2 linked regions of the Stegostoma tigrinum genome follow. The protein of the gene in region 1 interacts with the protein of each later gene in a biochemical or structural test. Links are inferred from orthologs where the notes say so. Each region holds a gene or a part of one and is shown on either strand. Other genes may lie near its edges. The genes, in order: tal1 and lmo2.

Region 1 (8,379 bases):
ATAAAGTGCTCATTATGGGCTATACTATACTAATGAATGTAAGGTTTGAAGGATTGCTAAAATCTATTGCTGTCTGGCATGTTCTCAGGATTGAGCAATGCCTTGCCTATATAACTATTATCCTCAAGTTATTTGAAGGGGCTCCTTTACTCTACAATGGTAGCCAACAAGACAGGTCATACAGCCAAAATGACAGCTAGTTAGGCATATAGTGGTGAAAGGTGTATCTATATATACAGATGTGAAAGTATATGTACAATGATGTGTCACTCATGCCATTTATATGTAATCAGAGGGTTTATTCCCTTGGCCTCCCATTATGTCTGGGTGCTGTCGCAGGATCCAGAACTGAAATGGAGACAGCCTGTCTGATATCAGACCCTGTTGGCCGAGAAAATTTGAGTGGATGACTCGAGGGAAGTTGGTGGCTGAGAGGTGTGCAGATACATGTTCACCTCTTTGGCTGCAACTTCTTCAGGGTTGGGGATGACAGGCAGATTGGAGGTAGACAAGCCTGGCACCTCTGTAGTGTCCTGAGCAGAAACTTCTGGAGGCTAGTTTGTGGTTCTTGCATCTGGGTGCTTGCGGGCATAACTCTACCTCCTTGAGAGAAAGGAGCACCAGGAGTGAGAATGAGGTCCCTCATCCTCCTCTTGCCTTGCCACTGATGTTGAACACCGATGGCTAAAACAATGGGATGCATATGAATATTAATTTTTGGAATTCACTAAGTATTCTACTGACCCCACTAACTTGTACATGGCAGTAGCTAGACATACGCATGTTAGAGCCAGTACGGTACTGACAATATTGGTGGATTCCTCCAAAACATTTCTCAAGTTTGCTGAATTTCTCCAAAAAACATTCCTGCTGTCTTTATGACTAAGCATTTAGATGCATTCATTAATGGCTGAAACCATTGGATAATTTTCTGCCAGGGCTGAGCAGAATCCTGGTCTCTGATAGTTCCCTGAGTGCCAGCAAGCCAGGCCACTTCTTTCTCAGACAATTGTGGAGCCATATTAGTGAAATGCTTCCCAGATTGTGCTCCCAAACTTAACCTGGATAGATCACCCGCCAAGGTATCATTATCTAAGCTGGTAGAAGGCATAGGTGAAAGTCTTGTTTGTGCATTCTCTGAAATAGGTTATGACTTGTACCTCAGAGAGTGTTGAGAAGCTATGGGCAAAGGATTTGCTTCTTCATGGCCATGATGGTGTAGGTGTTGCTTGTGCCTGATAGGTGTTGCTTGTACATGATAGACAACAGGACATTATAGGTGGAACTAGTTTAATTTGAGATTATGGTCAGCTTGGATTGAAAGGTCTGTTTTCATGCTGTTTGACTCTTTGACTCTATGTGTGCTATAGGGATAGAAGCTTGACCATCTTAATAATAAGGTATCAGTGGTGGTAGTATTGACAGATCAACTCAATGGAGTACAATGAAGCTCATTAAATTGTCCTGACATAGAAGCCTCAGCAACTGCACATGCATGGTATCAGTTCTCTCCAACCACCTCAAACATATTCTTCCCATAGTGGGTTGATATTGAAATGACAACCACACAGCCATTCAGACTGTCCCTCTGTGCCCAGTTGTGAGACATTTTCTCCTGTACTGAGAAAAGAAGGGCAATTGAATGAAATGGAAGTGGATGGAAAATGAAAGTCAATGGAAATGGTGGCGCAGGAGCAGCAGCAGAGGTGAGATGTCCGGAGTGAGTGAGTATGAAACACAGAAGGGAGGAAGGGGAGATGTTTAGGAATCTGAGGCAGATGAGAGCTATTGAGTGAAGGTGCTGCATGCAATGATGAGATTTGTCGATCTTTAGACTTGACAGTTTGTGGGAACTGAGAGATAATGATGGCACTTACCCTCATGAAGTGCAGAAGACCACTAACCTCCTTCAGGCACTGCTGCACACTTCCTTTAGTCTGTAAAACAACACTGACCAAGGCTTTTTCTTCATCCAGATTGGCTGTGTCCTGTGTCCCCTTTGATCAATCCAGAGGAAAAAAGATTGATCCTCCTCTCCATCACCGCATCCATCAGCAGCTCAAGCTCCCTTTCACCAGAGAGGTCTGCCACCTTTTCTTTCTATAACATCTCATTGCCAAAAATGATGGAGCAACAGACTATAAAAAGCAATCCCTCGCTTTCAGCATTTGAAGTGGAATGCAGGGTGAAAGGCAAAAAGTCACAACAGCAGCAAGCTAAATAGATTGGGGCTCCTTTCTCTGTGGCATGGGAGACTTGGAGGTGACCTTATACAGGTTTATAAACTCATGAGGGACAATGATAGGGTGAACACCCAAGGTCTTTTTCCTATGGTGGAGGAATTCAAAACTAGCCGGCATAGGTTTAAGGTGAGAGAAGTGAGATTTATGGTGCAGCAGAGGTAGATCAGCTATAAATTTATTGAATGGTACAACAGGTCTAAAGGGATAGAAAGACCTAATCTTTTGAATGTATGGAACAATTTAATATGCTATTCCCATTTTCTGGTTTGGTTTGATTCCTACGGTAAATTAAAATACGATTTCATACAGATATTTCATCCCCACGTGGCTTTTTCCTTAAACAACGCGTTTTATGGAACTGTCAAATCTGCAAATTGTTGGCGGTCTGACTAAATTGTTGTGACTTCAATTATCCCCATTTAATCAGACTGCTATCTGGTTCGTTTTGGACTTCCGACAGTTAATTGTAAAAGGGAATTGCGGAGGCACGTTATGGGAACTTGCGCACCGTTCGAGAATGTAACTATATATGTCCCTCAATCCATAAATTCGTATTGTAACATTTTAAAGAGAACATGAAACTAATTCATGAAAACTATTATAATGTCCAAAGCCAGAGTTTTCTGTCCTATAATAATCAGATAGAAAATGTTGTGATAGAAAGAGTTCCTATATTAAAATCAAGAATGTTTTAAGCTGCAATAAATAATTACTCGTAACTTATAAATGAAGCTGTAAATACCCTGCTAGATTTGCCTCAAAATGTTTAACATTTGAAGTGATCAAATGAAGTTAGCTTGAAACTTTACAGCAAAATAGCAACAAGGCAAACACTAAAACATTGGCGCATACAAACTACCATTGCCAACGTTCAGCAGTATTCATAACTCTGGTCCCAGTTTTTGTGGGCATCATCGGGTATTACAACGACAGCTGTTTGCGATAAGGTAACCCTGCCAAGACATTCAAGTTACAGCTCATAGTTATTCATTACTTTTTGGAACAAGCCTGGCTAAGCTGTAGCTGTATTTACAGATATCTATTTTATTTTGTATTTTGCTCCAGTTAGCCATGCAGAAAATATGAATGTATAGATAAACCAACATGAAATTTCCAGTGTAGTTTACATCAGTCATAGAGCGTGATATGACGTTCTAGAGTTCTGGGTGGGGGTGGGGGAAATACAGCGTAAAGCACTAAACTGCCTTATTTACCTTTCGTCTGCAGAAATTACAGTATCGGAGACACCATTGAGTATGGCCTTCAATTGGCTGACATTTGGCTCAATAATGAATAGTAACAATATTAAAAGTACACTGAAGTTACTATCAATCCACTGATGGTCACAATCAATGTCCCTAAGAGCTTGGGATTCGGAGCAGATTAATCCGGTAAAATATTGCAATGTGTTAACCGCACTAGTTATAAATTCTATAGGCACATAATAATCACCAACTTATTTACTCCTTTTATAGAATTTATTTTTAGCCTCAGTTACATTCTGTACCGCATATGCCCAATGTGTAGCTAACAGCATAGGAACCGAAGGTCAAATATTCTCTTTGGGTTATGGCTAGCACAGCCGCGATTATTAAAGAGTTAATGAATATGTAAGTTATTGTGTACAACAGTTACTACAACAGAAAATATTCTGTTGATCGAATAAATCTTGACAAATACCGATTGTTTTTTTTACAATGAGAAGACTCAGAAATACACATCCACAATTACTCTACTTTATAGGGGAGAAGCTAAATCTAGTGATTAAATTCCCATGACTGTCCCCTTTAACTGAAACTTTGTGGAAAATATAACTTCTTAGCATCATACCCACTGTTTTAACAATGTTGGTCGAACATATGGATTCATTTTATCTATTTAATTTTTACGTGTGATATCAATTAATTGCTCTTCAATGCTCAGTATATTCGACGTTGTAATGCAATTTAAGAGAAGTTTAGGGACAAAAAATGTATTTTATAATACTTCATTTTAAAATGGAAATGCAGCCTTATTATTGTCAAGCTAAAAGGAAATGATTTTAGCCACGAAAAGTCAATTTGATCAATTAAAATGTAATCGAATAATCAGCCTTTGTACCAATCTTTTAAGAACGTTTTAATAAGACATCTTCCCTCTTAGGCCCAATGTTGAATTTGTTCCAGACAATTGTAGTGCAATCACAAACCTGATAAAAGTCATTTCTTTTAGGACTTAAAACATACCGGACTTTAGCACTGTTGATGGTAAAATGCCTGTCTAGGAAATGTCTATATTTTCAAACTGGCGAGGAAGCATGGGAAACTATTTTACTCAATCTCCTTCCTTAACAGCGGCTTTGTTTGGTTCTATCATAGAGAGACCGAAAAAAAAACGAACAGTCCTCTCGATGCATTGACTTCGTCATTAAAATTAATTAAGGGCTGAGTAGGTGTTTCCAATTTAATGAAAATATGGAATAATTGCCACAGAGAAAAAAAATATAAATTACAATTCAGGTAGGCAGGCAAGAGCATTTTGCTATTCTGCAGTGTCTTTTAGTGCCACAAAAAACCTATATAAGGTTTTTATGCCTTGCGTTCCAAAGTTATTCCTATGCATATCCATGCAATATTTTTCCGCTTTCCCTCGATAAAATTGCCAAATAATAATGAATCATTTCATAAATAATGGCTTGGCTGTCTTATCTGGGCAGGGCGGCCAGTGCTGGTTTCTTATCTCGCCTGGCCACATTGCTGTAGTGTTCCGCTCTCCATACTAAATAGGAAATCGAACGTGATGTAAAATCTACTCCACTCTCCAAGGCACAAGCTGCCAAAAAAACTTATTACAGCACAAAGATCAGCCATGGAAGGGACTGAAAATGGCTGCTAACACTTTTCTAATAAACAAGGATGGTGAGTAGATTTCTAATTGCCACCTCTTTAGTGTGTCTTTTATTCTTCTACATTTTCAAATGTCAAAATATAACTGGTTTCAAATTGAGTATAAATGATTACAATATAAAAGGACTTTTTGTTAAAAAAAAGTAGAATTTAAAAAAAATAGAAATGGCTGCAAGCATTGTTTTCAATAGTCCCAGGAGTGAGGGGTCTTTTTGGGACATTTTGAATCGCTTAATGGATTATGTATAATACAATCCCTAATGATATTTTAATTTGATTCGTATACATCAAGATTTTTTTTCTAAGGGAAATACCGGCACAGTGACAGAAACGGATGGAGACGCTTTAATATGTTACGATCCAATAGTTTTTCACAATTGCCATCTTGCGCATCTAAAGAATTTGTCAGAGAGAAAAAAAGATATTAATCTCAATGGTTATTCATTTATGGGAGAAAACAACGATTTTTTTTTGTCAGAAAAGCAATAGCGACTCCTTTTAAGATATTGTTGAGTACGTACTAGCTGATTACATTCGCACAGATTCGTTCCATGAACTTAGAAACCGCTATCAACGAACTCGCTCGGAGTTTTGCTGGGAATGTCATCCACCAAATTATTCTGATAGATGAGAGCAATTTTAAGGACATCGTTGTGAAATCTCAATTGTAAGATGTTGTATTTCTGTAGTGCAGCCAAAATATAGGCACTTGCCAATGAATAGCCCTTAAATACCTGCTATAGTTTTGTTTCGTTTCTGTGCACATTAAGGGGAGATCACTTTAAATCAAACGTTTTAAATGCTTTAAGCTAATGCGTCAGAATCTTCAAAATATCTGACTGTTACAAACATCGGAGATTAGGGCTGGCAGCCTCCGTGCATCCAGACTGCCCTCATTTGTCCCATTGTCCTCATGTGTTTATTTGGACCTTTCCATTCCGCTCAGGCCTCACGTTGCACTGCCTTGATATACATGCTCTGCAACCAGGGATTGTTCATTTGAACGTCAGTTTAAAGGGACACAAAAGAGTTCCCATCATTGCAGCAGGAAGATGATGGGAATATTTTCTATGCACTGGGTATTTACATGAGTCTGCGCTATTTCGGGAAATAGATTCTACATCTATTTGCTAAAGTGAGCAACATGGAGGATTTGATCGTATGGAGGTGCAGTTGGTCACTTAATTCACAATGAATTTTACAATCTATGTATGTTTTGGGAAAGGCGGTTTATCGGAGGGTACGTATACATTCAAGACTGAGCGAATTGCACCCCGCATTATCAACGTCGTTTTGTTTCATTTTAAATGGGTTATGCACAATATAGCAATGTAATCTCAAGGTTAAATTTCAATCTTCTAATACACATATACGTCTCTGAGCTCAATTCATTGAAAAAAGATTACAACGTGCCCTGCAGCTTTAGAATTTAGAGAGTGTTTAAACGTAATCCTTAATTGATCAACTGTCTTAAGTATCTTGGTTGGTTTTCCATAAACTGAGAAATGCTTAATCCTTCCAAGAGGCTTTATGTTAGAAAAAGAATAAAGCGGAATGAAATGCTGCAGGTGCTGGCTTCCTTTGTCGACTTTAGTGTAAGAACGAACCCAGTTTCCCAGTGAGATCTGCACAGCAAGATTCAACGGTACTATGGAAATAACAGCAGCCAAGAAGAACTCGTTGTAATTCTTTGACATCAGTTACACTGCAGGGTGACATGAATTGAACTAGGCGTTTTCTAAATGTGATGTAAAATATGCCCCCAATATTGCCCATGGTGTTGTCTGGAGAATATTAGCTTCACCTTAAGGGGGGAAATAAAAGCGATTTCTTTCAGATGGAAGATTACGAAAGAATGCTGCACATCCTGTATTCAGATTATTTTTTAAAGAGTTATTAACTTTCTTGCGCAATTTTGAATCACTGGTTTATGATTTCATCGATGTAAAAGCATTTGTACTCAGAGTTTAAGCCTAAGTTAACAAACCAGAGAAAGAAAGCTGATTTCTGAGCTTTTCGCACTGAAATAAATTACATTCAAATTTTAATAATGTCGATATCACACTCTCGTGTTAAAAATGAATGGTGAATTTTAGTCTAATAATACATATGGAATCCGATAAACCCTTGATGGATTCTCAGCCACTCGATTGGTTGCACTATTTGAGATTTTGTTCATAAAAATGGGCCTGTCAATTGACAACTAGGTTAGTACGATGCAAAGATCATGAGCAAATTTACTTCAATAAAATGTAAACGATTTAATTATGAAGTCTTCTCCTTAAAGATTTTTATTTTGTCTCAGGGGAGTATTTCTTGCAGATGAAGTTGTTTCAGCATTTCTCCATCCTTTTGACATCTCATGGTAACGCAGTCAAGACGGTGAAGAGTTCCACTTTTCGACAAGATGATGGAAAAAATCGGGTCTGATCTTGGTGAAAATCCCAGCGATGATCTGAGTCCTGTGCAGAAAGATTTCCCCAGACATAGAGCAGACCGCGAGGAAGCGGAAAGCACGAGCGAGCCTGCAGATCAGTGCACTGAGGGACAGCAGCTCCAAGCCGAGCAACAATCTGCGTCAAATGATGGAGTTTCCAAGGAAACGAGACACGACTCCCCTGATCCCCTATCGGAAGTGCCAGTCATAAACCTGATGCAAAGAGGGGTGCAGCCTATAAATGAGAGGGATCAGAAAGGCACTTTTACTCATTCAGTACCGACCACCGAGTTGTCAAGACCCCCGGTGCCTCTGACTCTTCAAAGTCCAGTGAGTGAGAATCGGATGGTCCAGTTAACGGCAGCACATCTCCCTCTGCCTGCAGCCAGAGCAATGCTGTATAACAGCACATCCCAGTATCAAACCTTGCCACGTTTAAACAGGTCAGTCTCATGCCAGTAAGTAGCGGTATTTCAACCTTTCCTTTATTTTGGAAGATAGTGAACCTGTTTTCTAGTTTGTAGAATCTGAATAACTACAAGACAAACATTGGAATGAAAATCGATATGCCCCGGGCTCAAAAAAGCAATAAATTGATATCAATTGCTTTCAGGTTAACTAGTGATCACAATTTCATTTGATTTTTTTTAGAACAAGCCATGGATTTCATATTTCCATTGTTGACAAATCTTTGCTTTTTTTTGTTTTCTTGAAAATTATTGTCAATTTACCCCAAGGAACAGCCTCTTAGAGGAGATTTTTGACAGTCAGAATATTTAACTCTTTTGATTTAACAGTATAGATCAGTCAATGA
Region 2 (8,178 bases), on another chromosome or scaffold:
AAGTCTTGTGTGAAACCCAGAGAATATTGCACCTGTAAAGTGTCGGGAAAACTGCAAACAGAGAAATTCAACAGGAAGAGTTAACAATGGGGCTGACTACTACCCCCTTCAGCAAAAAGACACCTCTGTCAACATGTCCGTTTTACCCTCTGTGAATATACAAAAGAACTGACTGCGACACTAACCTGTATGTGTTTTTGACCAGATGGCCTAATGTGTGATCACTATAACTGTGAGGGCCACAGCTTAGAGAACAGTCATTTTCAACACCCTTGTACTGTCGTTAACAAAGGGAAAGAACAGTCAACGCTGAATGCTGGAAAAGAATCCGCACAACATAATGTCTTCCAACCTGCAAAGCTACCAAAGTCAACACTATGGATGTTATCTAATAATGGCAGCAACATTATCTTATGTGCTCTTCGTGAACAGTTCAATGACTGATTTATACATTTTATAGTTCTATCTTTTTGGTCTCACCTCTTAGCTCTACTCTGTGTCTATGTGTGTTGTGTTACTACTTCTTTTCACATGCAGTAAGCAATAAACCCACTCTTTTTGTACATCAAGGGAGCCTGTTTAATTTAAACATTTTTTTAGAAAACCCAGGTTTATCTCGGTCTGGGAGAAAGGCATTCACAAGGGAAAGGATCTTTATTTTTAAATGAACATCATTGAAACCAACGGAGGGAATGGGTGACCAAACCAGAGGAGGTGGTTCATTCCTCCTCATCTGGGAATTTTACAATTTGAGGTGCCTTGTCTGAAACTGTTACAAATTGGGTAACCTCACCACAGATCTGATTGTAACAACAGAGCTATCTGACACCCCTCTTTGCTGTGTATTACAAATGTATATCATTACATGCCCATCTCTATGAACACAGCAGGCTAAGCAGCATCTCAGGAGCACAAATGTTGACGTTTCAGGCCGAGACCCTTCATCAGAGAGGGGGATGGGGGGAGGGTTCTGAAATAAATAGGGAGAGAGGGGAAGGCGGACCGAAGATGGATACAAGAGAGTTGCAATGGGAGAGAGATTCCCTGAGGTTGGTCGGGGGGGAGGAGGGTAACTTCTTCAAGTTAGGCATCCCTGGAAGAGGCTTCAAAGTGAGGTTAAAATTGTGATCAGAGATAATGGGAACTGCAGATGCTGGAGAATCCAAGATAACAAAGTGTGAAGCTAGATGAACACAGCAGGCCAAGCAGCATCTCAGGAGCACAAAAGCTGACGTTTCGGGCCTAGACCCTTCATCAGAGCAGTTCCCATTATCTCTGATCACAGTTTTAACCTCACTGTGAAGCCTCTTCCAGGGATGCTTAACCTGAAGAAGTTATCCTCCTCCCTCCAGACCAATCCCAGGGAATCGCTCTCCCACTACAACTCTCTTGAATCCATCTTCGGTCCACCTCCTCCTCTCTCTCTATTTATTTCAGAACCTTCTCCCCATTCCACTCTCTGATGAAGGCTTGAAAACGTCAGCTTTTGTGCTCCTGAGATGCTGCTTGGCCTGCTGTGTTCATCCAGCTCCACACTTTGTTATCTCGGATTCTCCAGCATCTGCAGTTCCCATTATCTCTGCTGACCATCTCAATATCATGTTTACTTGTAAATGGAGACCCACTAACATAATCAGGATTCAGATTAAACTAGATCTCCTGTCCGACTTGGTGTCTAGATGATTGGTTACTTACATGAGATCGTCGTTACTTTTTATTCATTCATGGCATGTGTGCATCACTGGAAAAGCCTACATTTGTTGCCCATGCCTAATTGTGCTTGAGAAGATGGTGGTGACCTTTTTTCTTGAACCACTGAAGTCTGCTTTATGGAAATATACCCCGAGTATTGCTGGGACCAGAGCTCTGGGATCTTGATCCTTCGATAGTAAAGGATAACAAAATGGTTCATTCATGACTTGTCAGGGAACTTGAAGGTGGTGGTGTTCCTATTCACCTAATGCCCTTGTCCTTCGAAGTAATAGTGATACTTAGTTTGGAACATGCTGTTAAAGGAAGATTGGTGGTTTACTGCAGTGCAAGTTGTAAATGGTACACACTGCCAGTGTGCATTGGAGATGTACAATGGGACTTCAATAAGACAGGCCAATGAGTGGCAGATGGAGTTTAATTTAGATAAATGTGAGGTGCTGCATTTTGGTAAGGCAAATCGGAGCAGGACATATACAATTAATGATAAGGTTTTTAGGAGTGTTGCTGAACATAAAGAGACCGAATGGTGCAGGTGCACAGTGCCTTGAAAGTGAAGTTGGAGGTGGACAGGGTGATGAAGACGGCATATGCTACGCTTAGCTTCCTTGGTCAGAACGTTGAGTATGGAATTGGAATGTTATGTTGTGTCTGTACAAGACATTGGTGATGTCACTTTTAGAATACTGTGTTCAAATCTGGTCTCCTTGCTACAGGAAGGATGTTGTGAAACCTGAAAGAGCTCAGAAAAGATTTACAAGGATGTTGCTGGGATTGGAGGGTTTGAGTTATAGGGAGGGGCTGAGGGGGCTGGGCCTGATTTTCCCTTAAGCATCAGAGGCTGAGGGGTAACCTCATAGAGGTTTATACAATGGTGAGGGGCATGGATAGGGTGAATACACAAGGCCTTTCTCCCAGGATACAGGAGTCTCAAACAAGAGGGAATAGATTTAAGGTGAGAAGGGAAAGATTTAAAAGGGACCTCAGGGGCACTTTTGCACACAGAGCGTGATGTGTGTATGGAATGGGCTACCAGAGGATGTGGTAGAGGCCGGGACAGTTAGAACATTTGAAAGGCATTTGGATGGGTACATGAATAGGAAGGGTTTAGAGGGATATGGGCCAAATACTAGCAAACGGGACTAATCTGTTTCAGATATCTGGCTGGCAAACATGGCACTGGAGGATCTATTGCCATGCTGTACAGCTCTATGACTCTACGGTGGTGTTAATGTTGAAGATGTTGGGTGGAGTGCCCACCAGGCTGCTGTGTCCAGGATAGTGTTGAGATTCTTGAATGTTGTTATTGGGGCTTTGCTCATCCAGGCAATTAAAGATTAGTGTGTCACACTTCTGAGTTGTGCCTTGTATATGATGGATAGGACATGCAGAGACCAAAAGATGACTTACTCTCTCAGACCTTTCAGCCTCTGACTTGGTAGCCATGGTATTCACATAGCTAGTCCAATTCGGTCTCTGATCAGTGGTTAACTCCAACTTCCCCAGGTTGATTGAAGCGATCCATATTCAACCTAGGAGCAGTAGAAAGCCATTCAGCCTGTTGAGCCTCCTCCCCCATTCATTCAAATCATGGGTTGATTTGATTGTGGCCTCAGTTCCTTTTGAATCCCATGTCTGCCAAAAATCTATCTACCTCTACCTCTACTCCACCACTCTGGCCAGAAGTTCATTCCACAGACCCTCTGCGAGAGGAAAAAAACTTCTCATTTACACTTTAAATGGCAGCTTTATTTTTAAACAATGTCACCCAGCTCTCCCATGGAGGGAGACATCAATTTAGCACTCCCTTCGTCAAGTCCTGTCAGGATCTTGTATGTTTCAGTAAGATCATCATTCTTCTAACCTCCAAAGGATACATACAGACCCAGCCTGTCCAACTGGTCCTCATAAGGCATTCCATTCCATGAAATCAATCAAGTGAACTTCCTCTGAACTGCTTCTGATGCAATTATGCCTATTCTTAACTAAGGACAAATCTGCACTCAGCACTCTCTATGTGGTCTCACCAAAGTCCAAAGTAGCAAATCATCTTTAATTTTATATTTTCTATTCACATTGCAATCAATAGCACCAATCCATGTGCCTTCCTAAGCACTTGCTGTGCTTGTGTACAAATTTTCTGATTCATGTACCAGGACACTCAGATCCCTCCAGGCCTCAGGGTTCTGAAATCTCTCCAGTGGTAAATAGTTATTGCTTGGCACTTGTGTGACTTGAATGTTATTTGCTACTTATCAATCCAAGCTACCCAGGTCTTGCTGCGTTTGGACACAGACTGCTTCAGTATACAAGAAGACATAAATGATACAGAACATTGTGTAATCTTCCAGTGCAGCCCCATTTCTGACTTTACAATGGAGGCAAAGTCACTGCTGAAACAACTGAAGATGATTTGGCCAAACACTTTACTCTGATGAACTTCTGCAGTGACATCCTGACACAGAGATGACTGACACCCTGCAACTCAAAGAATTTTCCTTTGTGCTGAATCCAGCAGTCAAGAATTTTGCTCCTGACTCCCATTGGCCAACTTTTCTCAAGCTCCTTGATACCAGACTCAATCACATACAGCCTTGATGTCAATGGCAGTCAATCTCACCTCACCTTGAGTTTAGTGATCTTTCTGTGTTTGGACAAAGATTGTAATGAGGACTGAAGCTGAGTGACCCAGGCAGAAGCCAAACTAACCAAATGAATAAGCATTATTGAACATGAATGAGTATTGCCGTGTAAGTGCTGCTTCACTCTCAATTACACTTTCTATGACTTTGCTGTTGCATGAGAGTAGAATGAATGGCCAGGTTGGATTTGTCCAGCAATTTGTGAACAGGATACACCTAGACAGTTTTCCACATTGCTGGGTAGATATCACCGTTGTCACTGTACAACTTGGTTAGTTTTGGATCACAAGTCTCCAAACTATTGAGAACGTTGGCAGAGTTGGTGACTTTTGTCACATACAGTGCCTTCAGTATTCTCTGATGTCATCTGGAGTGATTTGGTTGAGGACTGGTGGCTGTGATAATGAGGCCCTCAGGGGGAGGCTGAGAGATCACCCACTGAACACCTCTGACTGCTGACAGTTGCAAATGCCTCTCCCTTTTGCACTGATATGCTGGCTCCCCTATTGAGTCTTGCAGTCTTCTGTCAACTGGGGTCGAAGTTTTCCACCCAGAGTACATTTTGTCGCCCTTTGCACATCTTCCAAGTAGTAATGGGACTGGACTAGTAATCCAGACTGAGAACAGAAAGCAGTATCAACTCCCAAAGCCCATCACATTGTCAAGATCAAGCTTCGTGAGCTAATTATCAAAACCTCAAAACAATTAGCTTCTTAAGCTAATTTTTAATTATTCTAAATTATTCGAATAAACGTCTAATATTCTGGTGCGAAATAATATTCATTATTTTATTGTTTTAAATTATAGCAGTCAAATTTAATGAACTTCATGATGCACCATTGATTAAAATGGATCTTTATCATAAACGCTTTGTGTTTATAATGGTTTTACTGTTTTACTTAATATGTATATAACACGTGCGGTTATATTATGCATATTTTAATGAAAAGATAGGTGCAGGAAAATAGATCAAGTGTTTGGTCATTGCAATGCTGCAATTGTTTCTCAGAGCGGTGTTGCCCTGCGCCTTTAACACAAGCAGGCTCCTGCCTCTTTAAAAGTGATGAGTGTTGTTTTGTAGGAAGGGTCCCTTGACGACGCTTCAAAGCTGCGGCTCGAACACGAATTTCCGCGCATTGTCCGAGTCGTGATGAGGAAAAGGAAACGTGTGATCTGGGCTCAGCGCAGTATATAAAAAAAAGCCAGCAGCAGCTTCAGGGCCTTGCAGAGACAAGAGAGAGAGAGAGCGAGAGACAGAGTTGGCGACCCTGCTCCGTCCCCGAACCAATGTCAGCAACAATCGAGAGGAAATCGCTGGAAAATGCAGAGTGAGTTAAACTGCCGGCTCGTTTTCATTTGCGTTGCAAACCGCTGTAAAGGTGTAGAGATTGCACTCGATTCAGTCAAACCGATCAAGGATTGAACAATTTCCTCAAACATGGGTCCGTGCACACAGTCAGACCAGAGAGACACCATCTGATTGTGAGATTTCTAATCATCTCGATATTCTTGATTTCTACGAGACAACATAATGGCCTTACAACTAAAAGAAAAGCCCCTGATCTTAACCACTTGGGGTTTTGAAGATGGTAACATCTTACGGATTGCATTTATTTTCATTTTATTATTTCATAAACTTTACATTGACGCGCCAGAGACAATTCTTCCGCGACAGTCATGTACCATGCATCATTTCAGTTTTGATTTATTGGACATGTTTACTCATGTCTTTTGATCTGAGCAACTTTTAGCCCTTTAGCAGGACGGCGTTGTGGGAACTGTTTGATTCATACTCAATACATGTAAAAACCGAGTGAAGGGCGAGCGATATTCTTCACGGTAACCGCCACCGCGCCGCCCCCCGCAACAACCCCAACCTCCCCAGTTCACAAAGTGTATTTGATCTGCCACTTATCCGTTATCAGCGGACCCGTCACTTCAATATTAATATTTTGGAGCCGCTCTCTCTTTGGGGAATTCTCGTGACCTCTTCATATTTTAAGTTGAACTTCCCCTTCAGCCAGCTGCAAGGGAATGAACCCTCCAGCCATTTTTCTTTCATTTTAAACAAGCATTTTTTAGGCATATTGCTGAAATATGATGGAAAATGTGGTCACAATAGCACTTTTGAATCCGTAGTTTCTGTAATATATTTTCAATGCCAATATGTGAAAAGGACTAAATATTTTGCGTGCTTCTAAGCTGAGCTTCCAATTGAAGAATGCTTTCTAACCATCGTCTGTTTATTTAAGAAGATTGTGTAGCCTTAAACCAACATTGTTCTATCTTACAATAACAGTACATCGCTTATAATAATGCCCCTATCTCACTCATCTTTCTATTATCGATCCCTTTGGGACATCAACTGCTACACTGAAATTTTCAAGACACAGTTGTGAGTATAAGTATTTAAGGAAGCTTGGCTCATGGGTAATACTGTTGCTTTGGAATCGGAAAATTGAAGCATCAGACTCCATTCAGCTCAAAACCCAGACTGGCACTTGAGTACATTGTCGAGTTAGTTAAGTTAAAGTCACTATCGTCTGCCCAGACCGTTGGGATGCTCTCTCATTGAAGAGTGAGAGATGGCTGGTGATCATTTAATCTCAGGTGAGGGGAGAGGGTGAGAAGGAGAGTCTTCATGGTAACCTTAGCTGGTGTGAGAGTTGAATCCATTCTCGTGGTGCCACAGTGCACTGTAAACCAGCCGAGCTAAATGACCCCAAAATAGGAGCACTGTATCATTAAAGGCACTGTTCCTCAGATATAACATTCAAGCAGAGACCATTGGCCTGGTCAGCTGGATGTGACAATATTCTGTTCTATGATTTGTGGAAATGTTGGAGAGTTCTGGCTAATGTCCCTTCAGCCAATATCAAGATTATTTGTCATTTATCTTATTATTGTTGAAATTTTGCTCCTGCACTTCCCTCTGTGACAACAGTGATCAATTCACATAAGAAATAGGAGCAGGATTTGATACATGGAGTCTGCTTCACCATTAAATAAGGTTATGTCTGAGTTGATTGTGGCTCTGTGTCTGACAGCTATCAGAATTTTTGAGGCTATGAAAAGAACTATGCAAATGAATGTGTTTCCTTATGCAGCTTAAAATGAAACAAATATTTTCTTTGAAAGCCTATGACCAAGAAATACATTATAATGATCTTACAAACGAACTTGAAAAATTCTTCGTAAACACATAGAATGGTTACAAAAGGAGGTTGTTTGGTGTTTGAAGCATCTGCTTTCTCTTTGTAAGAATATTTCTTTAGCTTGTTCAACTTTCTTGCCCGTATTCTGAGATAACCCCAAGGAATTCCTGCAGCAGTGCTCTCGGAGGGAGATGATTAACCTCCAACAATGTTTGAGCTCCTTTGTGCTTGGTGTGACTCCACCCAGTAGGGAGATTTCCATGATTCTCTTTTTGTTTAAAGTTTTGCTCAGGTTTTTGATGCCACACTCAATTAAATGCCGCTTGATGCTAAGAACAATCTTTCTCACCTCATCTCCAGAATTCAACTCTTTTGTCAATGTTTGGATCAAGGCTGAAATGAGACCAGTCGCTGACTCATCCTGGCAAAACCCAAAATGTTCTTCTGCAATGAGCTTTTTTTTACTGAATGATGCTGCATGTCAACAGTACCTTCCTGCCACTCATCATCAACAATGCTTTTTAAATGATCCCTTGAATATGTGTACTGGTTTGGGTAAAACTTGCTACAGTTTCGTTCTCCACTACAAAGTGATGTCAAAATGAGCATAATAATTCCATCCAGAATGCTGACTGATACTCACTCATTTTAAACTAATCCTAGAATTAAAC

Evidence for each region.
Region 2: the proteins of tal1 (region 1) and lmo2 form a complex in vitro, tested with the Homo sapiens proteins (2 studies listed by BioGRID). The link is inferred for Stegostoma tigrinum from reciprocal best matches to the Homo sapiens genes TAL1 and LMO2.

What each region holds. Positions count from the first base shown.
Region 1 is NC_081361.1:59,149,356-59,157,734, reverse strand, and holds the start of tal1 (T-cell acute lymphocytic leukemia protein 1 homolog), read left to right. Parts: upstream 1-4,953; 5' UTR 4,954-5,140; intron 5,141-6,070; exon of another isoform or gene 6,071-6,368; intron 6,369-7,433; 5' UTR 7,434-7,535; coding exon 7,536-8,023; intron 8,024-8,379. UniProt on the Homo sapiens protein: Implicated in the genesis of hemopoietic malignancies. It may play an important role in hemopoietic differentiation. Serves as a positive regulator of erythroid differentiation.
Region 2 is NC_081370.1:45,064,204-45,072,381, reverse strand, and holds the start of lmo2 (rhombotin-2), read left to right. Parts: upstream 1-4,818; 5' UTR 4,819-5,028; intron 5,029-5,433; 5' UTR 5,434-5,639; coding exon 5,640-5,680; intron 5,681-8,178. UniProt on the Homo sapiens protein: Acts with TAL1/SCL to regulate red blood cell development. Also acts with LDB1 to maintain erythroid precursors in an immature state.